Linked DNA regions of Cricetulus griseus. The protein of the gene in region 1 purifies or fractionates together with the protein of each later gene. This does not show direct contact. Links are inferred from orthologs where the notes say so. Each region holds a gene or a part of one and is shown on either strand. Other genes may lie near its edges.

What was found.
Region 2: the proteins of Ppp2r2a (region 1) and Cdca4 purify together in Homo sapiens (affinity purification with mass spectrometry; 4 studies listed by BioGRID and IntAct, with this or other methods). This does not show direct contact. The link is inferred for Cricetulus griseus from reciprocal best matches to the Homo sapiens genes PPP2R2A and CDCA4.

The regions. Positions count from the first base shown.
Region 1 is NW_023276807.1:221,997,737-222,009,198, reverse strand, and holds part of Ppp2r2a (serine/threonine-protein phosphatase 2A 55 kDa regulatory subunit B alpha isoform), read left to right. Parts: intron 1-5,483; coding exon 5,484-5,596; intron 5,597-6,360; coding exon 6,361-6,538; intron 6,539-7,359; coding exon 7,360-7,524; intron 7,525-8,284; coding exon 8,285-8,454; intron 8,455-10,247; coding exon 10,248-10,339; intron 10,340-11,462. UniProt on the Homo sapiens protein: Substrate-recognition subunit of protein phosphatase 2A (PP2A) that plays a key role in cell cycle by controlling mitosis entry and exit. Involved in chromosome clustering during late mitosis by mediating dephosphorylation of MKI67.
Region 2 is NC_048598.1:181,216,700-181,228,868, reverse strand, and holds the start of Cdca4 (cell division cycle-associated protein 4), read right to left. Parts: upstream 8,146-12,169; 5' UTR 8,005-8,145; intron 7,812-8,004; exon of another isoform or gene 7,660-7,811; intron 7,472-7,659; exon of another isoform or gene 7,163-7,471; intron 603-7,162; 5' UTR 597-602; coding exon 1-596. UniProt on the Homo sapiens protein: May participate in the regulation of cell proliferation through the E2F/RB pathway. May be involved in molecular regulation of hematopoietic stem cells and progenitor cell lineage commitment and differentiation.

The DNA.
Region 1 (11,462 bases):
GCGCTTGGGGGCTGTTGAGGATGAGGCAACTGGGAGTTGCCATGACTAGGCCCAGGGTCTGTAAATGTATAGTGCTGGAGAAGTATTTGAGAGCTACATCCTGATCTGCAAGCTGGTCTGGTAGGTAGGTCTAAGAGAAACTGACTGAGCATGGGATTTTGAAACTCTTAACACCTCCCCCCCCACACACACACACCCTGCACCTCCTAATCCTTTCAAACACTGCCACTCCCTGGTGACTAAGCATTCAAATATCTGAGTCTATGGTGGCCATGATTATTCAGACCACTATAGGCCTGATAGAACAGATTGCAATTTTTTGTTTTGTTTTGTTTTTCGAGACAGGGTTTCTCTGTGGCTTTGGATGCTGTCCTGGAACTAGCTCTTGTAGATCTGGCTGGTGTCGAACTCACAGAGATCCACCTGCCTCTACCTCCTGAGTGCTGGGATTAAAGGCATGCACCACCACCGCCTGGTTAATTTGTTGTTGTTGTTGTTGTTGTTGTTGTTATTCCTGATTTCTAAATAAGACAGAACCAAATGGATACCTTACAGAGTTATATGTATATATTTAAAAACAGGGTCCAATATAACAGTATTATAAAGGTCAGAGTTTTATAAGCTGTTTTGTCTGAGTATGAATGGATATTGGAGGTATAGGAAGAGTAGGTCTTGAATTACAGCAACACTTTGAGGGAGAGAAAACATTTTGAAGATGTCAGCATCCATAGTATAGTTCTTGTTTACTGTGAGATACAGCATCATAGCCCTCCCCTAAAATGGGTCGTTATATCAATAAAAAGTTAGACATTACTTGGAATAACTGCATCTTGTCTATATTCTTTTGAGTGTTCTTTAAAAACAAACAAAATCCTTGGATCAGAAGATGACTCAGTGGTTAAGAGCACCCAGGTTTGATGGTGGCTCACACCAACTCTAACTCCAGTCCCTAATAACATCCCTAATAGGCATCTAATAACCTCTTCTGGATTCTGTGGACACCAGGTACACATAAAATTAAGTTCAAATTTAAAAACAAACTTTGCCTCTCCCTGAGTCCTGCTAATTCTCCTACACCAAGGATACCTGATCACCATGTTGAATATGAGCCACACGAGAACGTGTTCTCACAGCTTTTAGCAAGAAATTTTAAACCACAGAGAGCTACATTTCCACAAAAGAAACTTTGCCACATGGTTTTCTTTACTCTGACACTTTGCTTGTAGCAGGAGAATTGAAGAGACCTTTGGATTGGTGGAGTACTTAAATTATTTGTTGGCAGTTTAGGGAAATAGACATTTTAGGAAGAAGAGAGCTTAAAAGATGAATGGTTCTTTCCAGTGAGGTATAACATCACACTTGATGGTGTGGTTCTGTGGAGTTGGTCATTCTCACACCTGCTGTGGGGCAGAAATGCTTGGTAAAAGTGATTTTCATGTGGTAATTTATTTCCTGTCTGCCTGCTCCCCAAAACTAGCCATCCTAGTATTTCATTGCTGTGTATTTTATCACTGAAACAAAACTTTATTTTTAAAATTGTAAATCACAAGCTTTACAGCTTAAAAAAAAGCCTGAAAAGAATATCTAATTTTTTTCAGGGTGGTTTGTTTGCTTTAGAGGGCTTTTTGCTATTTTTTTTGTTTTTCCTTGTAAAGTAAAAAGCATTAACTAATTCATCCCATCTGAAAGTCTGTTAAGTATGTTGTGGTTTCCTGTCTGGACCAAATTTTATAGGGTTGATGAATTTCAATAGGCTAAAGACAGCTGAAGGGGTGGGGCGTCTGTCATCCTCATCTTGGGAAGGGGGTTTCTAAGCAGATCTTTATATCTTCTGAGGAAAAGAAAGTATGTATATGGCTTGTATCTGAGCATCTATTTCTTCATCATTTGTTTATAAACTAAATAGTGCATAGGAAACACATAGCTCGGCTATAAGAGAATTACAAACGTCTACACTAGAGCTTAGGAGTAGATGGTAAGTTACTGAAGCTAGCAGGGGTTTTTTTTGTTTCTTTTTTAAAATTTTTTACATTCCAATCCCAGTTCTTCCTCTCCTCCTGCTCTCCCCTCCTTCCTTCCATCCCACCTCTCACCTGCTCCCCAGAGAGGGTAAATCCTCCCCTATGGGGTCAACTAAGTCTGTCCCATCACCTCATTGAGGCAGGACCAAGGTGCTCCCCACAGACACACACACTCCCCAATGTCTAGGCTGAGCAAGGTATGTCTCCATAGAGAATGGGCTCCACAAAGTCAGTTTATACAATATATTATATTCGTCCCACCACCAGTGACTCCATATACTGCCCAAGCCACACCATTGTCAACTGTATTCAGGAGTTCTAGTTCAGTCCTATGGCTGCTCCCCAGTTGTTAGTGTAATGTCAGTGATCTCTTATTAGCTCTGGTCAGCTGATTCTGTGGGTTTCCCCATCATGGTCTTGACTCCTTTGTTCATATTATCGCTCCTCTCTCACTTCGATTGTATTCTGGGAGGTTTGCCCAATGGCTACTTATATATAGATCTGTGGAGATCTGTTTTCTAGTTCTGTCCATTTGTAGTACTCCATTGTATAAATGTACCACATTTTCTTTATTCATTCTTTGGTTGAGGGGCACCTAGGTTGCTTCCAAGCTCTGGCTGTTACAAATAATGCTGCTATGAACATGGTTGAGGAAGTGTCCTTGTGGTGTGAATGTACCACCTTTGAGTATATGCCCAACAGCAGTATCTCAGGATCTTGAGGTAGATTAATTCCTAGTTTTTTGAGAAATCGCCATACTGATTTCCACAGCAGATATACAAGTTTTCACTCCCACTAGCCATGGAGGAGTGTTCCCTTTACTCCATACCCTCTCCAGCATAAGCTGTCGTTGGTATTTTTGATCTTAGCCATTCTGATCAATGTAAGATGTTATCTCAGGGTTGTTTCGATTTGCATTTCCCTGATGACTAAGGATGTTGAGTATTTCTTTAACCATACCCCAATTTTTAATTGGATTATTTGGTAGTTTGGTGTCTAGTTTCTTGAGTTCTTTGTATATTTTGTCAGATGTGGGGTTAGTGAAGTTTTTTTCCCATTCTGTAGGAAACCGTTTTGTCTTGTTGACCATGTTCTTTGCTTTACAGAAGCTTCTCAGTTTCAGGAGGTTCCATTTATTCACTGTTGTTCTCAGTGTCTGAGCTATTGGTGTTATATATTTAGGAGGTGGTCTCCTGTGCCTATGCGTTCAAGGATACTTCTCACTTTCTCCTATGCAATTTAGTGTGGATGGATTTATATTGAGGTCTTTGATCCATTTGGACTTGAGTTTTATGCATGGCAATACATATGAATCTATTTGTATTCTTCTACATGTCAACTCCAGTTATGCCAGTGCTATTTGAAGATGCTTTCTTTTTTCCATTTTATATTTTTAGAAGCTATCAGTTTTTACGTTTACATTTCATCTTGTATCAAGTGCTATAAACAGGCAGTAGAAATGGCCACACTGCCACTGATGTTTCCCTGTAGCAGTTGCCTTGTACTACTTATAAAATGGCTTCTGAGTTATTTTAAAACTAGGGTATTCAGTTTTGCTTATGTAAGAACATTAATTAGAGCTGTTTTGCTTTTGAATAAAAATACCATTTTAGAATTATATCTAAATATCTTTTGGTTTTTTGAGACAGGGTTTCTCTAGCTTTGGAGGCTGTCCTGGAACCTAGCTCTTGTAGACCAGGCTGGTCTCAAACTCACAGAGATCTGCCTGTCTCTGCCTCCCGAGTGCTGGGATTAAAGGTGTGTGCCACCACCGCCCAGCTGTACCTAAGTATCTTATACATGAATCCATGTAAATAATTACAAGCAATACATGGGTAGATTTTATTTGCAAAGGCAAAGTGAGCAGGTGTGCAGCTGTGCAGTGGCAACATCGGCTACCAACCATAAGTTATGCTGACAGAGTTGTACCCTTGTGCAGTGAGCTTAGAGGTCACTTCATTGTGTTTTCCAAACATCCAAAGAGGGACAGACATTAAGGGACCACTACTCAACAGTTCTCTAGGTAAATGACAAATGATCAAAGTCTGAGAGGCAGCTTTAAAGACTGAAGAGGTGGCCGGGCATTGGTGGTGCACACCTTTAATCCCAGCACTTGGGAGACAGAGGCAGGTGGATCTCTGTGAGTTCGAGACCAGCCTGGTTACCAATCGATTTCCAGGATAGGCTCCAAAGCTACACAGAGAAACCCTTGACAAAACAATACAAAAACAAAAAGACTGAGGAAGCTTGATGACTAAATGCTGTGGTGTTTGGATCCTGGAACCAGAAAAGGGGCATTTAGTAGGAAACTTAACTCAAATCTCATGGACACCTTAGTTTCACTAGCATTACACATGGTTTTGACAAGAATGTTTTGTTCTTAGATTTGACATTGGAGAGACTGGGTAAAGTCTGTGTATATGAGAATACACCTAAATTTGAAATTTTCTGAGTCTAGACCCAATTCCTAGGTAAATATATATGTATATAAATACACACACACACACACACACACACACACACACACACACACACACACACACACACACATATATCCATCCATCCATCCATCCATCCATCCATCCATCCATCCATCCATCCTTGAATTAGAGGAATTTTTGTCTTGAAGGGGTTGAGTATTTGCATGCTGCACACCCCCACACATAGGGTTTTCCTGTGTGGCACCTCTGGCTGTCCTGGAACTCACTTTGTAGAGCAGACTGGCCTTGAACTCATATATGATATGCCTGCCCCTGTCTCCCAAGTACTGGGATTATAGCACCCATTGTTCAGTGAGGATTTGTTTTTAACCACTGCTTTTCAGACTCCTCTGTATTAGGGAATCACTGATCAAAGAAGAGAAAAGACAAATTCAAAGAAATCATTCTATGCTATCAAGGATTCTGGTTTTCCATAAGACGTATTAGGATGGGATCCAAGGATTTGGCTAGTTGAGCTCAGTAATAGGCAGTTTATACACATGCAACAGTTCTGTTTTTGAAAGTTAGACACCTGACTTTACCTTGATGAAAATGAAAAGGCACATGAATTCTTTTTGTTTTGCTTTATGGGGGATGGGGCACTCTTTTAATCCCAGCATCTGAGAGGTACATAAGAGTTCTAGAAATGCCTGGTTTACAGAGTGAAACCCTATCTACAAACAAAAACAAAACAAAACAAAAAGCCTGCCACGATGGCCCATGTCTTTAATCCCTAATCCCAGCACTTGGGAGACAGAGATAGGAAAACCTTTTTGAGTTTGAATCCACTTGGTGTATAAAGCAAATTCTAGGATGGTCAAGGCTACCCCCTGAAACCTTGTCACCAGGAAGGAGGGAGGGAGGAATTCCTTTATGTGAATTATTAATTTCCATACCTAAAATTTTTGCTTTAGAATAGCTTTTCTATCAGGATTATTTTTTTTTCTGCCATTTTTGAAGACTTTCTTCATTCTTTCCCCAGATAAAACAATAAAATTATGGAAAATCAGTGAAAGAGACAAAAGACCAGAAGGCTATAACTTGAAAGAGGAAGATGGAAGGTATAGAGATCCTACTACAGTCACTACATTACGGGTAAGTACTTTTAAAAAGGTGTGGGGAGGTTCTCAATCCTAGCACAGCATGGTAGAGGAAGGTGGATCTCTGAGTTTTGAGGCCAGCCTAGTCTTCACAGTGTGCATTCCAAGATAGCCAGTGCTGACTTCAAAGAAAGAAAAATGCCTCTGATTGGATTTTTGTCAATATTTGTATAGCCTGGCTACCAAGCAGGTGCCATTATTGCCTCTGTTCCTAGAACCACTGGTGGACATTTCTTTATGGGACATTGCATCTTTCTCATTGAAATAGAAACAGCTACACAGAGGTCTCACTGCTTCCTGAGGAAGGGGGCGGGGGCACAGATGACATGGGACTCACACTGTCTTAACACTGGTTTTGGCTTTCAGAGTTGGAATCTTGGTTGTTACAAAGTAAGTGTCTTTGGAACTCAGAAAGTAGAAATGTTAGAAAAAAAAGTAGAATGTTAAAGTTAATGCTAAAGATGCTAAGAATAAGAAACTGGGTTTTACTTTTTTAGCCATGTTAATTCAAATCATACACTTGTACTAGGTTTATACTGGAACTATGATTTGAAAACTTGGAGAAGAAAGTAGTTGTCCAGATTGTTTATTTTTCTTTCTTCCAGTTTGGTGTTTAAAGAGAACCAACATCAGTGGCTTAAAAAAAACAAAAACAAAAAAACGAGACACCGACTCATTCTTCGTTATATCTCTTATGGTTGTTTTCTGAAAAGTAGAATAATGGTCTTGTGAATCTGGGTTTTCATATTTCATTGACAGGTGCCAGTGTTCAGGCCCATGGATCTAATGGTGGAGGCCAGTCCACGGAGAATATTTGCCAATGCCCATACCTACCACATCAACTCAATTTCTATCAATAGTGATTATGAAACCTACTTATCAGCAGATGATTTGCGGATTAATCTCTGGCATCTGGAAATTACAGACAGGAGTTTTAGTATCCACTTGATTAGTTTGGTGTTTGGTAAAGAAATCATACTGTGTCGGTATTAGATTTATCTTCTCTCTCCTTCATGTATTTTTTTCAATTTTTATTTTAATTAGAAGATTATTTTACATGTTAATCCCAGGTCCCTCTGCCTCCCCAACTAATACCTTACCTATCCCATGCCCTTTCTGCTCCCCAGGGAGGCTGAGGCCTTCTGTAGGGGGGGTCTTCAAAGTCTGTCATATCCTTTGGGATAGGGCCTAGGCCAGCCCCGTTGTATCGAGGCTTAGGGAGTTCCTTCACGTATTAGATCCTTGTTTTACTATGTCTTTCCATCTTTGTGGCATCTCCCCACCCCCATTTTTAAGTAATTAAAACTGAGAAAAAGTTAACTCAATGAGAAAATAAAAAATACGTATCATATGAGCTGATGATCCCAAAATAGAATTTTTGAAGTTCTAGGGAATTTCTTTTGTGCCTATAAAAATTGAAATTGAGTGGTTTGCTATGTTTGTAAAGTACTAATTTCAAAAATGTTCTAACTAATGTTGGAACATAAAATTGATTTAAAGATTTATTACTCTTGTGTGTGATAGTGCTATTTAACAGTACCAGCATTCAGCAGGCTGAGACCAGAGAACAGAAGTTCCAGGCCATCCTACACTGTATATATAGCAAGGTCTCTCAATAAAAAAAGAAAAAAAGTACAAATCACATTTTAACATTTCTGGGGTTTGCTCATAAAAAGGAATAGAGTGTTACTAAGAAATACTTGGTCTTAGTTATTTTCCCTTTTCTGTGTGGAGATTCCTTAATGAAATGCTATCTAGATATTGTGGATATCAAGCCTGCCAATATGGAAGAGCTCACAGAGGTGATTACAGCAGCAGAATTCCATCCCAACAGCTGTAACACATTCGTGTACAGCAGCAGTAAAGGAACTATTCGGTTATGTGACATGAGGGCATCTGCGCTCTGTGACAGACATTCTAAATGTAAGTCTGTTTCTGCCCTTTCTTTAAAGTGGGTCCACTCAGACTCAGCCTGACCTGTGTGCCTGTGGGTAACTTCCTGACTCCATCTGAAACTTTGCTTATTCCATAGAAAGCACATGAGGTGGGCATGTATGTGGATGGATGTGCGGTTGAGCTTTCCAGCCTTGTATTCAAGCAGAGCTTCCTTTCTTCTCTCTTTCCTTATCCCTCCTTCCTTAACCTTTTCAACTTACTAGGAAGCCACCCTCCCCCTACAAAAACATTGGCATTAAAATGGATGAGGCTGGAAGGATGGCTCAGTAGTTATGAGAATAGTAGCTCACAACTGTGTGATTCTTGGATTCCAGGGAATCCAATACCATCTGGCCTGCTTGGACACTGCACACATATGGTACAGTTATACACACACACACTGATACATGCCAGTTAACAAATCCTTTTATGGGGCAACTGGAAATTTGGATGGGCAGAGTGGAGGGTGGTTTCCAGAGTGACAATAGAGACAATGAGGCGGATTGTGCACTGAAGTAGAGTGTCCCACTTGAACTCTCCTATGGAAAAGCAGACCCCTACATTAACAGGGCTCTGCATTGTGTAGTAATCATTAAGTTTCTTGAGAGATTTTGTGAGGGAACCTGTCCCCAAAGCTGGCAAAATGTTTTAATTTTTCTGTATTAGTCTGTGATTTTTTTTCCCTCACTTGGTTATTAGAAAATGATCTATCCAAACCCAGATACTAAACTTTTCCTCTTGTTTTCAGTGTTTGAAGAACCTGAAGATCCCAGCAACAGGTCTTTTTTTTCTGAAATCATCTCCTCTATTTCTGATGTAAAATTCAGCCATAGTGGTCGCTATATGATGACTAGAGACTATTTGTCAGTCAAAATTTGGGACTTGAATATGGAAAACAGGCCTGTGGAGACATACCAGGTATTTGCAGTTTGTTTTGAAAGAGTGTATACCTGTGGACAGTATAGAGGTGCACAGGGTGTTCAGAGTGGCACATTTCTTTCAGAGAGCCACGGATGTGTTGCTGTTAACTGTGTAAAGTGTATGTTGTTTGTTCACGATTGTGGGTAAACTTAATTTTGTTAGTCACGTGGTTCACTGCTGGCTATTTGTGGTGGACTGCCTTGTATATGGGAGTGAGAAATGTGGACAGCAGCAGGGCTCGGGAAAGCATTCTCAGCAGAGGGCACACTCCGGATAAAAAGTGTACAGAAATAGCGGACCGGGGCTTAAGTTTGACCTGACAATCACATGACTCATATATCTTTTGGCTAATTGTTTCAAGTATAAAGGGCCTGAATTCTCTGTCAGTGGCTTTAGGAGTTACCTCTTTGGTGTAGAATGTAAGTTCAATATTCTCTCTCTGTCAAATAGCTACTGTCCTTGACCCGTATCTACAGCATCGGAGATAGATGAGAGTGAGGTACACAGTGCAGCACAGGCCAGGCCAGCAGAGCCTGTGGACCAGGGTGTAGAAAGAAGTGCTCTGAAGCAGACTTAGGAAATGCATGATGCTTACAAAATTAGGACAAACAAATGTTAAATGGAAACAAAATCAGCGTGAAATGTTCTGTTTTCAAAGTGTTGGCAGTATCCAGGAGAGCTAGCTGTCTTCCCCATGCATGACACTGAGACCCTCATGTCAGAGAATAACTTTCAGGATTCAGTTCTCTCTAATGTTGCATATCTTGGGAATCAAACTCAGGCTTGATAGCAAGCATACTTATCCACCAAGCCATATCTCAGCCCACCATAGACTTTTTAAATGATGTGGGTAGATAAGAGTGAGGAGATGGGGACAGACAGCTGAGAGAAATCAGTTTGTCACTAAGCCTAATCCTTTCTGTGCTGTATATTTAATTTAAAATAACAGAGCACAGTTAAATTTGTGCTCAGAAAATGGTACTCAGAGGCAAGGAAGCAGCATTCTTATAAGCAGTAATGGACTGAGTGCCAAAAAGTGAAAATTAAATTCTGCTACAACATTCTTTTGTTAGTCTCTTATTTGCCATTTTCAAATACCTTCTGGCTTAGATGTCTCAGTTACTGTTATATTTATGTGAACGAGACACCATGACCAAGGCAACTTAAGAAAGAAATTATTTTAAACTGCTGGTGGTGGCGGCGGCAGCGGCACACACCTTTAATCCTGGTACTTGGGAGGCAGGGGCAGGTGGATCTCTTGTGAGTTCCTGGACAGCCAGGGCTACACAGAAACCCTGTCCCTGGCGGGAGAAGAGATGGCATTTAATGGGGACTTGCTTACAGTTTCATTATGGTGGAGAATATGGGTGGCAGGCAGGCAGGCAGGCATGGTGTAGAACAGTAGCTTACATCTGATTCACTGACTGGAGGCAGAGGGAGGCTGACTTCAAAGCCCTACCCCAGTGACACAAAAGGCCTCCTCCAAAAGGCCACACCACTTAATCCTTCCTAAATAGGCCACCAAATGTGGATCAAACATTCAGATAAATGAATCTATGGAGGGTGTACATTCTTATTTGAATATTACAGATGTCTTAGTTAGGCTTATTGGAGTACGTTGCAGTGCCCAGAAAGGTGTTTTCCTCAGTTGTGCTACTGAAAAATGTAAGGACCAGGAGAAGTAAGGTTAGAGGGGGGGGGGGGTGTGATTCTGCTATCCACTGTTTAAATGAATTTTTAATGTTCCTGATTTGAGAGGAGACTGAAATGGAGTATGTGTTTCTCCCTAGGTACATGAATACCTCAGAAGTAAACTTTGCTCACTCTATGAAAATGACTGCATATTTGACAAATTTGAATGTTGTTGGAATGGGTCTGACAGGTAAGGAAGAAACTTGCTGTTTTATCCCCTCTGGTTTGTCATACTAGGTAAAAATAAAGACCTAATTTTTTGTTTCTTTGACAGAAGTTATTCTTTTTTCTTCCAGGTACTTGTGAAATAAACCTAGTAATCATGAATAGAGTTATAATGATTAAAAAAAAAGTGTTGATTTTCTACATAAAGCATAAGAGATCTATAATAAGAAGTTATAGGTATTTAAGTTACATTATAAAATCTTTCCCCTTTTTTTGTGAGCCACATAAATGACATTGCTAGCCATGTACAGTGTGTATCTGTAGTTCCGCCCCCCTGGGCAGCTGAGGCAGGAAGAGTGCTTGAGGAGTCTGAGTCAGTAATGCAGACTGTTTCATGAAAGAAACATTAAAAACAAAATCATAACTCAGATATGCCAACAGTTAATTAAAGTGGTGAATTTCATTGGAGAACTGTTTGGGCAGCTCAGGTACTTGATGCAGTGTTGTACTTCAGTGTCTGTAACCACGACACTCACTCCACAGAAGCAATTTGTATGTTATTGCAAGTTCTTAGTGCTTACTGTATTCCGATTCAAACACAGCATAATTTTGCAGTTACTTTAGGCCTTATCTAAAGCAATTACAGGTGCTTTATTTGGCGGTAGTTGAATTTAAAAAGCTTGATATGATTCACATTTTTTGGTGTTAGATGTTAGAGCCCTCAAACTTGAGGTGTTTGTCTTTTCTCTGGTTTTTAAATTATAATTGCCTGAGTTTTATATGAGGCTTAATAATAGGCTGATCACACTACTCGAATGCCTCCTGCAGGGTAAGTACCTGTGATGTCATTGCTAAATGTGAGTTCAGGAAGGACAGATGTGAAGAGAATGTACTGGTGTATGTAGGTGTGGCGTCTTACAGTCAGTTTCCCCATGTCTGGTATCTGTATGGTTAGTTCTCAGTGCCCTTCCGTTGTCAAGGAAGGTGATAACTCTCAACATCAAGGATACTTTCTGAGGGCAGGCAGGGTGATGGATACAGCAAAAAGGCTTCCAAGCCTAACAACCTCAGTTGGATTACTGGAACCTGCAGAGAAGGAAGAACCGACCCATAAAGGTTGTCTTGACTTCTCTCTCTCTCTCTCCCTC
Region 2 (12,169 bases), on another chromosome or scaffold:
TTGGTCCCACCCATCATTCCTGTTAGCACCGTGTCCAGGTCATAGTAGGAACTGTCCACATCTGAGAAGAGCTCCTCCACTGAACTGGGGCTTTTGTTCTCCAGGGTCTCAAATATCTGGTCCAGTGACTTCTGAAAGCTCCCCCGGTTTTCTTGTGGGTTGTCCAGCTCCCAGAGGCTGCTGGGAGGGCTCCTTTGCCCCTGTGCTGGGCTGACTATGGGGAGCTCAGAAGCTGAGCTTTGCAGGGGGCCATCTTCCAGTTCAGGAGTGGGGTGCTCCTCGTCAGCTGCCCTGGCTGTACGGCACAGGATCTCTGTGGAGACTAGGCGGTCAATTGGTGCCCGTTCTACATTCTGGGGTGCCATCCCATGCCACACACCATCCCGACTCATTTCCTCCTGGATCTGCCGGACTGTGTTGGCAATAAGGACTGAGCGGCAGAGGTTGGGCTCCACTAGCATGTGGCAGAGCTGGAGCTTGACCAGGGACATGTCCAGGAGTGACTGCCGCTGCAGGCTATAGGAAGGGACGGTGCCAAAACCCTCTACTCCTTCCTCCTGATCACCATATTTCCTCTTCAGCCCTCTAGCAAACATCGTGCTCTGTGGGAACCAAGGAAGACACCATTTAGCATACTTCAGCCTCCTGGCTGACAGTACCCAGGACAGTTTCTAACAGCTAGAGAAGTGACAACACAGAAGTGCCAGAGACACCATCTGGGAACCTGCCTCAGACACAGCCACTGTCACAGACAACAGAGATCTACATTGCAGCATAATTTTCATCAACAGATAAATGAACACAAATAGGAATGTGTTATTTGTATAAGGCTTCATTGTTGCTTTGAGATATCTTGCTATGTAGCCCGGGCTGGCCCTGAACTTGTGATCCTCCTGTCCCAGCCTCCCAGAGCTGAGATTAGAAGAGGATACCACTACACCCAGCTACAGAAATGTATTTTAAAGAGAATAAAAATCTGGGTCCTGGGACAGGAACTTTGGTCCTTACGTTTATATGACAAGACCTTTCAGCTGCTGAGCCATCTCTCCAGTTTTTTTTATTTTAAAAATAAAAAAGTATTATTTTAAATAATATATTTGAAATTAAATGCCAAGTTGTTCTTAAAAGAATCCTTCTGAACTTTAGGATTTCTTTATAGACACAAAAAGGCTACCGATTTCTTTTTCCTTTCATTGTCACAGACCTGTACATAATTTACGTGACCTCTTCAGTATTTGTTTCAATGAAATGAAAGCTAAGGCTCGTGTAAAAACATGTAGAAGAATGTTCACAGGACTCCACTCACAGTTGTTCCACACTGGAAACAATCCAGCTGAAATGACCGGGCAAACACCCTCCTTATACTCATGCAATGAGAGGGCAAGCCACCAGGCAGCCACAGGAGGTGGGTGCAGATCTCAGGTGAGAGCATGCCTGGACAAGTGCCCAGCTCCCACACATCCCACGAAACCCTAAGTGAAAAAGGAACGGAAAGAGGAATGCAGAGGCTATAAAGTTCCTTTGCAACTTCATAGAAGAAAATCATAATCTAAAGATAAAAACTTGAGAGTCCTACTGCCAATAGTTTATTTTTTGCTCTAAGACTATGCCCAGGAAAATAAGCAAGTGCTCTGGTCCACACTACCCCTCAAGTTTTATCATCTATCTTGTAATGAAGAAAAGGAGTTGACCACCAAAGTATAAATACTATCAGGAGGGGCCAGAGAGATGGCTGCTCTTCCAGAGGATCCAGGCTTGAGTCCACTACTTACATGGTGGCTCAAAACCATCTATAACTCAAGATGCAGGAAATCCATTGCCCTATTCTGATCCCCAAGTGCACCAGGCACACACATACATAAAAACAGGGAACATACAGAGAACATAAGTCTAAACAATAAAATATTTCATGAGGCCAGGTCAATGGCTAAGCAGATTAAAGGCCTACTATACGCCGGGCGTTGGTGGTGCATGCCTTTAATCCCAGCACTCGGGAGGCAGAGGCAGGCGGATCTCTGTGAGTTCGAGGCCAGCCTGGTCTCCAGAGCGAGTGCCAGGATAGGCTCCAAAGCTACACAGAGAAACCCTGTCTCAAAAAAAAAAAAAAAAAACAAAAACAAAAACAAAAAAAAGAGGCTTACTATACAAATTGAAAATCGGAGTTCAAATCCTTAGTTAGTACCCATGTAAATGCCAGGCAGGTGTGATGGCCCAACTCTAATGCCAGAGCTTGGGAGATAAAAACAAGGGATCCCTGGAGCAGGCTGACTCTGGACTCAAACAAAACACTGCCTCAAAAATTAAAAGTGGAGGGGCTGGAGAGATGGCTCAGAGGTTAAAGCACTGACTGCTCTTCCAGAGGTCCTGAGTTCAATTCCCAGCAACCACATGGTGGCTCACAACCATCTGTTATGAGATCTGGTGCCCTCTTCTGGTGTGCAGATATACACGGAAGCAGAATGTTGTATACATAATAAATAAAATCTTTAAGAAAAAAATTAAAAGTGGAGAGCAAATGGGAAAGATAGCAGGTATCAGCCTCTGCACCCCCCCCCCCCACGCATCCACGCACACACATAACACACCTAAACAACTGCTGGTTATTATGTTTTGTTTTTGAACCAGGCAGTCCTGGCTAGCCTAGAATTCACTGGGCATACCAGGCCAGCCTCTGCTTCCCTGGGGATTGGGATAAAGTATGTGACACCACGCCAGGCAAAATACTTTTTAAACTGTTTCCGCTGACTATGGAGCTGGAGATGGGGACCTTCTATTCCAGGCCCCCACATGATGGCTTACAACCATCTGTAACTTTGTTTCCATGGTATCTGACAGACACCCTCTTCTGATCTCTGTAGGTACTGTATGCAAAATACCTACACACACTCAAAATAAAATCTTTTAGAAATAAATACTTAGGTTGGGTTTGAACACTTGATCTCCAGCTGATGGTGCTGTGTGGGACATCACAGAACCTTTAAGAGGTCGGGCTGTGCTGAAAGAAATGCACAACCAGGGACAGCTTTCAGTTTTACAGCTTGGCCCTACAGCCTAGTGTCTGCTTCCTTCCTGTGTGCAGATGATGTCATCACACTGCTTCCTGACTACCAGGTTGGCTGCCTCCTTCCACTGATGTGCCTTCCCTGTCTGATGGACTCAATGTGTCCCTGCTATTAACTGCAAGCCCAAACCAACCCTTCCTTCCCCAAGTTGCTTCCTCAGGTGTTTTGTCACAGGGACAGAAAGGTAACCAATGTAACTTTACATCACAGAGATTTCTTTTTTGGTGTGGCAGTATGTGTGTTTAACAGTACCTATGTTCAACAGACTGTTCTCTTGAGATCCTTCTGCCTCAGCCTCCAGAGGGGCGGGATTACAAGTGTTAGCCACTAAGTCTACATTAATTTTTTTCATTTTTTTAAAAAACAATTACACGTTCAAAGGCACTAGGATAACACTGCTAAATTTATTAAGGATTAATCTACTATATCAAACTATAACAAGAAACCCTGGATTAGGGGGTGGGAAGTCCCAAAAGTTCCTCTTTGGCAAGTTCCTCTTTGATTCAGGGTTGACTCTTCATGATTTAACAACAGAACTTGAACCAAACTAGCTCATATGGCATGAATTAAACCCTATTTTGCAGACAGAATACCTAGACAGAAATCTAGCAGATAGCTTAAATTGAAGGCAGTCTGGTTCCAGGGAGGGTATGGCCAACCAGAGGAGGCAGTGAAGAGAACTCACAAAAGGACAGAGAAGATAATGAATGGGTTCCTGAGCTGGAAGTTTCCTCCCTTCTGGCTACTATTCTTAGTGACAGCAGGTAGAGCACAGGCTGAAGAGAGAAGTCATCATTGGTCTTTTCTTGCCCGGGGCAAGAAGCCAGGCAGCTAGCAGACACAAGAAGTAGTGAAAGTAAGATACACAGAAGCAAAGAAAAGTAAAAAGCCCCAAGGCTAAAGGTTGATAAACAAGAAACAGGTTAATTGAAGTCAAAAGAGCTAGCTAGAAACAAGCCTAAACTAGGCTAAGCATTCATAACTAAAAGTCCCCGTGTCATGATTTAGGAGCTGGTTGGAGTCCCAAACGAAAAAGCCTGGCACAGCATTTCTGGTGCCATCTTAGGACTAGCCAAGGAGGCAATTTACCTACTACAGGCAGTCATGGGATGCAAGAAACAAAATACCCCGCCCCCCCAATTCAAGGCAGGGTTTCTCTATATGTAGCCTTGGCTGTCCTGGAACTCACTCTGTAGACCAGGTGGCCTCGAATGTACACAGAGAGATCCACCTGTCTCTGCCTCCTGAGTTCGGGGTTAAAGGTGTGCACTATCACTGCCCTGCTAAGTCTTTAGAGCTCACTGGAAAACCAGACCAGTAATAGGAGGCACTAGGCTCCTGTTTTTCCTAGGTAGCAGTTAGCCTGCTTGTCTAGACCCACTTAGTTCATCCTAAGGTTGAGAAGTTGCAGTCTGCTGTGACGGATCTGGAACCCGGAATATCCATTAGATGAGGAGTCCACCAAGCAGGCTATGCTAGGTAAATGTGAACCTTTTCTCTCTAGAGAACCAGCCTATGGGAGAAAGGACAGAACTGTAGGGTGTGACGTGACGATGGTAAAAGCCTTTAAAGCCCAGCACTAGAGGCAGGTGGATCTCCTCAGTTCAAAGGAATACAGTGAGTGAGACCCTGTCTCAGAAAAACAGAAAAGGCTGAGTTTTTCACCGGGACTTTAAAAACCATTTTCTGTGCCAAATTGGAAAGCTATTTTTGCTAGGCTGACATCCGTTTCTGCAGAGTCATAAAACTAAAACTGTTTTGCTTCTTAAATTTGTGATTACAGAATGGAGGTGCTGTTTCTCACATAGGCGATGTTCATCACCTAGTCAGCCCACCCCTAGCCACCCCCAGCAAAGCTTTCCTCAAGACTGCCAAATAGTGATGGGACCAACTCCCAGCCACAGAAGTGTTGGTGACACAGCCTCCACATGCTCTCCCATGTTTGGCTGGTTATTTGCATAGCTCACTAGACAATCTGGAAGAGAATAAAAAAATCAGAAAACAAAAATGCTCCACAGTTCTAACCGTGCAGAGAAAACCTGCCATTCTCTAGGTCCCTTTTCCCAGCCCCTTTCTTCGTCCTGAGCACTGGCTTCCACAAGTTGTTTATCTTGTCAGGGAACAAGGGGGTCATCATTTCTGGGAGTGCCTACTTGTCGCATGCACAAGCACACCAGGCAGCCTACAGCCAGCACCATCCTAGGAAACATTAATTTTTCATATTTGCTATGAAAACTACCCTCTCCACATTTACTAACTTTGCAAGTTAAACATTCTCTTCTTTCCCCAACTCTGCTTTTTTGATTTTTTTTTTCTTCAAGACAGGGTTTCTCTGTGTAGCTTCGGAGCCTGTCATCTAGGCTGGCCTCAAACTCACAAAGATTCACCTGTGTCTGGCTCCCCAGTTCTGGGATTAAAGGTGTGTGCCATCACCACCCTGCCTCTGTTCCCTTTTCCTTAGGGTACATAAAACTCTTGCACAACAGAGCTTTAACCAACACTCCCTATCCTGCTAGGGCCAGAGACTGTCCTTCAGTCTTGTTCACCCTCCTCAGATTTAATGATTTTAAACACGCTGTGGCTGGAGAGATGAGACTCTTACAGATGATGAAGTTTGGGTGCCCAGCACTCATATGATGGCTTACAACTGCCTCTAACTCTAGTTCCAGGGATTCAATGTCCACGGGGGGGGGGGGGGGGGTTGTTGTCACAAGGTAAGCTGTGGGGTATTCCAGGACAAAAGCTCTGGAATGGAAAATACAGTTGTTTGCTTACCTGTCACTCTAGAACCTAAGCTATGAACAGGATGGTGATGGTGTAACTAGCAAGAGGAAAGGGGAAACTTGAAGGTGAAGGTCTGTATCACCAGCACAGGTTCTGTAAATGGTTGAGCTCTAGGGACTCTCTTAGACTGCCCTGGGTACAGCTCCCTGTGGCCACCTGAGTTGCTTAATTCTTCTAGTGAAGGATTACATGCAGCTTCCTGGGCTCCCACCATGACTTTAGGCAGCCACCAGAGTCTTGGTTTTATGTGAATAGACCTATCACAACCAGGCCTTGTACTGTGGCCAGTCAAGCACTCATCTGGATATTGGATTTTTAAGGTGAATCAGGATTTAGTGATTTCAGAACTGGGCATGGTGACACACCTGTAATCCCAGCACTTGGGAAGCAGAGACAAGGACAGTTAACAGTTATTTCTGGCTACAGTGTCTGCCTGAGGCCAGCCAAGACTAAAAGAAACCCTGTATCAAAAAATAAAAACAAAACAAACAAACAAAAAAACGAAACAACAACAAAAATCACAACTGCTTTAAACTACTTCCTCAAAAGCAACTGGGAGGAGGTAACAAGTTGGGAAATTGCCGGGCCCAATGATGAAGTTTATTGTCCCACTGTTTCTACTTGAGATTTTGTAGAAACAGTTCACTAAAAATTCCTAATTAGATTTCTCCTTAGAAGTATTGTGGGGCTTTCTTAAGCCTGGCAGTAGGTTCCAGTGACAACCTGAGGGAAACTTCCTGACCTTCTAAAAACTAGCACCTCCAAAAATGGGGAAGGGATTCCTGGATGCATTTTACATTTCATCCATAGAACCTCGATGAAGCTGCATGCAGGACTCTGATGAAACATAAACCTTAATACTGCATGCAGACGACGTTTCCTGTGGAGCTATTAAATCAATGGCTACCTCAGCCCTGCTGTCTGGTAGTCAGATACAAAGGCCACCAAGACAAGGTACAGGCTGGACCAGTAAGTACAGCTGTCCCAGGTTCTGTCCCAGGTTCTGGGAGGACCCCCTTCCCTGGTGGTCTTATTTGGGTGAGAGAAACCATAAAAGAAAGCCTCTGGCATTCCCCACCCCACCCCCAGTTCCATTTAGCCTCAGGCTAGATTAGGGGAGACCAAATTGGCTCCCCGTCGAGTTCCACAGATCCCCGGGGCGGGCAGTATCTACACCGGGCGACAAAAGATGAGTTCAGGAGGAGGCGGGGGTATACGGTAGCAGGGGAAGGGGTTAGGCAACACAAGACACCGGGTAACCTCAGGGGGATCAAAACTCGGGAAACAAAGGACAAGACGGCAAGGCCAGCACTCACCGGGCGGGCGGGCGGCGGCCCTGGCCTCTCGGGAATCCGCCCCCAGCCGGCAAGCGGACGACGTCCGGACGGGGCTCGGTGTCGCTAGGAGCCAGGCCAAGCCTAGCGCCCCGTCCCCGTCCCCATCCCCAAACCGCAGCCCCCGCAGGGGCGGCCGCACCGGGCACGGACGGCGAGGCGGAGGCCGACGCGGACCGAACCCACGGGGGCCCCGGGCGGAGGAGAAAGGAAAAGGAGGGGGACGGAGCGGAAGCTCGGGCGCGTGGGCGGAGGGCGGGGGCGCCGGCTCGCAGCAGCCGCCGCCGCGGCTCTCGGGATGTGTCACTCAACGCGCCGCAGCGTCACCGACGCCAAGGGAGGCCGAGGCCCGGGGACCCCGCCGCCGCCGCGCGAGCCGCCCGTCCCGCCCGCCCGCCCGCCCGAGCGGGAGGAGCCGCCGCCCGGCCTCCGCGCAGGCCGGCCCCGGGCCCGCAGGAGCACACAGCCCGCCCGCTTACCTGCGGCGCCACCCCGTCGGCCGTGCAGCCCCGGCCCTCAGCGCCCACAAAGGGTCGCCATGGCGTCGCCCGCCGCGCGAGCGCCGATTGGTGGAGCGCGGGGCGGAGCTCCGTTCAAACCCACGCCAGGCGGAGCCTGTGCCGCGTGGGCTCCCGCGCAGCGCCCTCAGCCGTTAGGATCGCGCGCCGGGCGCCCCGCCCCGCCCGGCCCCGCCCCGGCCCCCCGGCCTCGCTCCGCCCCCTTTCCCTTGTCTCTGGACGGCCCGACCGCGGGTCCCGGCATTCCGCGCGCCCTGGCTCCCAGAATCCCCGCGCGCTCGGCCCCGCCCCCGGCTCCCAGGTAACCTTGCGGGCGTCCCTCCCTTGCCGGTTCCCGGCCGGCTCGCCCTCGGTCTCCGTCGACCTCCGTCCTGCGGTTGTCCGTAGCGGCGGCTCCTTTGAAGCCCAGGAGGGCCGAACGAGCCTCGGGGGTGGAACCCCGGAACCAGGCCCCGGGGTCTTCCGGCGGGACCCCAAGTCCCGCCGCCGCCGGTGACGCGTGAAGCCGGTGTCCGGTGGCTGGCAGAAGGGACGGTGCCACGTTCCGGCCGGAAACAAGCGTGTGCGCAGGGAAAGGCCGGGAAAAGCAGGGCCAGGCGCTCGGCTGTGCGCTGCGCGCTGGCTCTCCCGGCTCACCAGCCCACTCCCTGCCCTTCCTTAGGCCGCACAAAGGAAGGCCCTCGGAATCGACACCCTGTCTTCCTTTCTTATTACTGCTCTTTTAAATTTAATCTCTGTGTGCATTAGTGTTGCGCCGCATGTATGAGTGTGCGTCAGTTGCGTGTGTGCCTGTGCATGACCTGGCCACCGTGGGTGTGTGTGGGGGCTGAGAGCCTCACCCGGGTCCTGTCAGAACTACAATTGCTCCTAACCCCCCCGAGGCATCTCTCCGACCCGTGCTTTAACTTTACAAAAGCACATTTATCTAGTGTTTCGTGGGGGACAGACGACTCTTTGCAGGAATCACTTTTTTTCTGTCATGTGGGTCTGAGAACCTTAGGCTTGGTGGTCAGCTGCCACTGAGCTGCCTCTTCGGCTCCCTTTTCTTTTTCTTCGTCTCTTTTGGGAACCGGCCAAAAGCCTAGGCATAGTTTCCCTGAGACTTTGGGCTTTCTGTTTCTTTGACCTCCTTGTCTAACTTAAAAGGCAGTCAGTCTCCTCATCCCCCTCCTCTTGGAGGCCACAAGTTTTTCAATGTGTTCACCCTCTTTTTCTTTTCCTCGAAATCTAATAAAAATTGTCCATGACCTTCGTTCCAGAACCGTCTTAAGTTATTTTATTAGTAAGACTAAGAACCCAAAGGAAACCAGAGTTGAGCTGACCCCTGAATGGAATTAGGGCAAGAGAGAGTCTCTGCATTTGACAGGCGTCACCCAAAGAGAGCAAGGCTGGATGGGAGCTGCTTAATAATCTCCACTGCAAGCCCTCAGAGGGTTCGACGAGGGATTAGACTACCGTGGAGGAGTGCTTGCAGATGTCACTGGCAGTGAGAGGTGACTCAACGGGGCAGCCTGAAGAGCGGGAAGGATTCAGGATTCTATGAAACAAGGTTGGGGAAGCAGTGCACACCCAAGGGTGTGTGTGTACAGCTCAAGAGAGTACATAATTTTGGTGGCTTTTGAAGTTACTTTGTTGAAAGGATGTACTCTAAAAGATTAATAATCTTTTAATAATGTAGCCTCAAGTGGGAGTTAAGGACTTTAGCCCTAGCACTCAGGAGGCAAAGGCCAGCCGATTCCTGTGAGTCTATATCGAGAGAGCCAGGCCAGCCAGGATGACATAGTGAGAACCTGACTCAACAACATCATTTTGCAGGGGCTGGAGAGGTGGCTCAGTGGTTAAGAGCCCTGGGTGCTCTTCCACAGGACCAGGATTTGGTTCCTAGCACCCACATGGTGGCTCACAACCAGGCATGAAAATGGTGCACAGACATACATGCAGGTAAAATCCCTATACCAAAAAAAAAAAAAAAAAATTTTTTTTTTTTGCTATATTTATTTGAAGGCAGAGTTTAAATGAGTCCACAAGACCCCAACCCCAAGATAGATGATAAACAGGTATTTGTTAGGGAAGCACTTACACAAATAATAGCAAACATCTTCCCCCTCCAGAAGCAGTCTCTGCCCTTCAGATACTCTCACCACAACCCAAGAGAGCCTGCCCCTCATCCTTATAAGGGGGTCATGTCTGCACCTGAAGCCACACCCCTAGGATGTGGCCGCCACCAAAACAAGGATAAGACTTCTTGATTTAAAAACTGAAACCGCCGGGTGTTGGTGGTGTACGCCTTTAGTCCCAGCACTCAGGAGACAGAGGCAGGTGGATCTATGTGAGTTTCGAGACCAGCCTGGTCTACAAGAGCAAGTTCCAGGATAGGCTCCAAAGCTCTCTCTGTGGTCCAGGGAGAACAGTTGACATCCTGAGGCTTGCCAGAGCACCTAGAGCTATAACTTTCACTGGCAGCATCTCAGCTGGTATCCCACTGTCACCTTCTATTTTGCTCTACTTGGGTTGTTGCTCCTGCTTGGTGCCCCTCCATCCTGTCTGTGTTGTCATTCACATACAAATCACACCCTCCTCATTTGTTCTCTCCTGTCTGCCCACTTGATTCTTAGAGAGGACAAGTTAAGAACCCGGTGGGAGACAGGAAAGTTGACAGTGACAATACACTAGGTGAAAGACAGGCGTGGTAAAGTAACTCCATGAAGACTTACACCTGGGCATGTAACATACAAAGTCAATGATGAAGATCCAGTTCCTACACAGTTGTCGTGCACTTGGAAACAAGATCCACAAACAGATGGCATGGGAAAGCAAAATAAAACACCAAAGCAGCCCCCAGACATGCTTGCTCTGTCAGAACGGGCAAGGCAAACTGGCCATGACAGGCGCTGCCTTCTGCCCATCAAGCTGGCAGAGAAAAAGAAAACAAATACTCTATTACAGATTGGAAGTGTAGTCAGGCTCAGGTGTGAAAAAAGAGTGAAATTGTGTCATTTTCAGAGGAAGCCAGACGAGAAACATGTTTTCTATCATGCAGGATCTAGATATAAATATTGCTATTGTAGAATATGAGTTGAAGGTGTTACATTTGTTTACGCTGTGGAACATTTGTTTAACGATGCAAAGATGTGTTGTGTTCTTTGATATTGTATTTATTTAACTCTGCTGAAGTGTTTTAACTTTGCCTGTCTAAAACACCTGGTTGTTCTAACAAAGAGCTGAGCAGCCAATAGCAAGGCAGGAGAAAGGATAGGCAGGGCTGCCAGGCAGAGACCATAAGTAGGAGAAGAGAGGGAGGACAGAGAGAGAGAGAGGAGGCCACCAGGGGCTGGCCAGAAAGCCACAGGCCCAGCCACAGCGTAAGAAGAAAAATAGAGAAAGGCAATAATAGCCCAGACACAAAATGTAGTTAAAGAGAAATGGGATAGTTTAAATTAGAAAAGTTGGCCAAAAACAAGCCAAGCTAAGGCAGGGTATTCATAAATAAGAATCATGTATTTATTTGGGAGCTGGGTGGCAGGCCCCCCAGAGAGCAAAGAGAGGGAAAAAAAAAAAGACAAGCCAACTACACATTGAATTTTAAAATATTCTATGTAATACATCGAAACAGAAGGGAACATTTGGGGGAGGGAGGGGAACAGGAGGGTGAGTGGGGCAGGGTTGAATAGGAACAAAATACAATCATATCCTCACATGAAAATGTCATGAGGGCTGGTGAGATAGCTCAGCCAGAAAAGGTGCTTTACCACCAAGCTTGACTTTAAGTGCCCATTCTTACTTACCAGGCCAAGGTTATCTGATATGGCAGGCAAGAAATTAAACCAGGCTCAGGCTGAAGGACCACAGCAAGACCAGAATTTTGACAGTTTTGTTGAGAGCAATCAGAGTTTTCATGCCCTGATCAGGAACAGACTAAATGTCAGTTGCCAGGACCAATACAGTTGTAGCTGCTGGGATACAATGATGTGTGCAAACTTTACAGGGCACACAGGTTACTGTCCAATACCAATTGTCCTGTCAGGCTTCGGTGCTTCCTTGACTTCCAAGGGAACAATACAAGAAGCACAGTTTGGCATGGAAGCGTCACTGCCTGAGGGAGGACCTCGATTCTCAGGGACACACACAGTGCCCCAGGAACCACGCACTCAAACCTGAAAAACCTACAATGTGTGGCGGTTAGGACAGGCCAACTCCACGGTTCCCTGAACTTAATGACCCAAGTTTGGTCCCAGGACCAATATGCTGAAAGGACAGAACTAATTCTCATGGGCTGTACTCTGATCTCCACAGGCATGCTATGACATGCACTAGCCATGACTCCAAGCAAATAGGCAAATAAATGTAAAAAACAAAAAAGTCATAATGAAAGTCTGTATGTCAACTGTCTTAGTTTCTTTTCCTGTTATTATAAAAATACTCAAAAAAAAAAAAAAAAGACAAGAGAAAGGTTTACCTTATCTCACAGCTC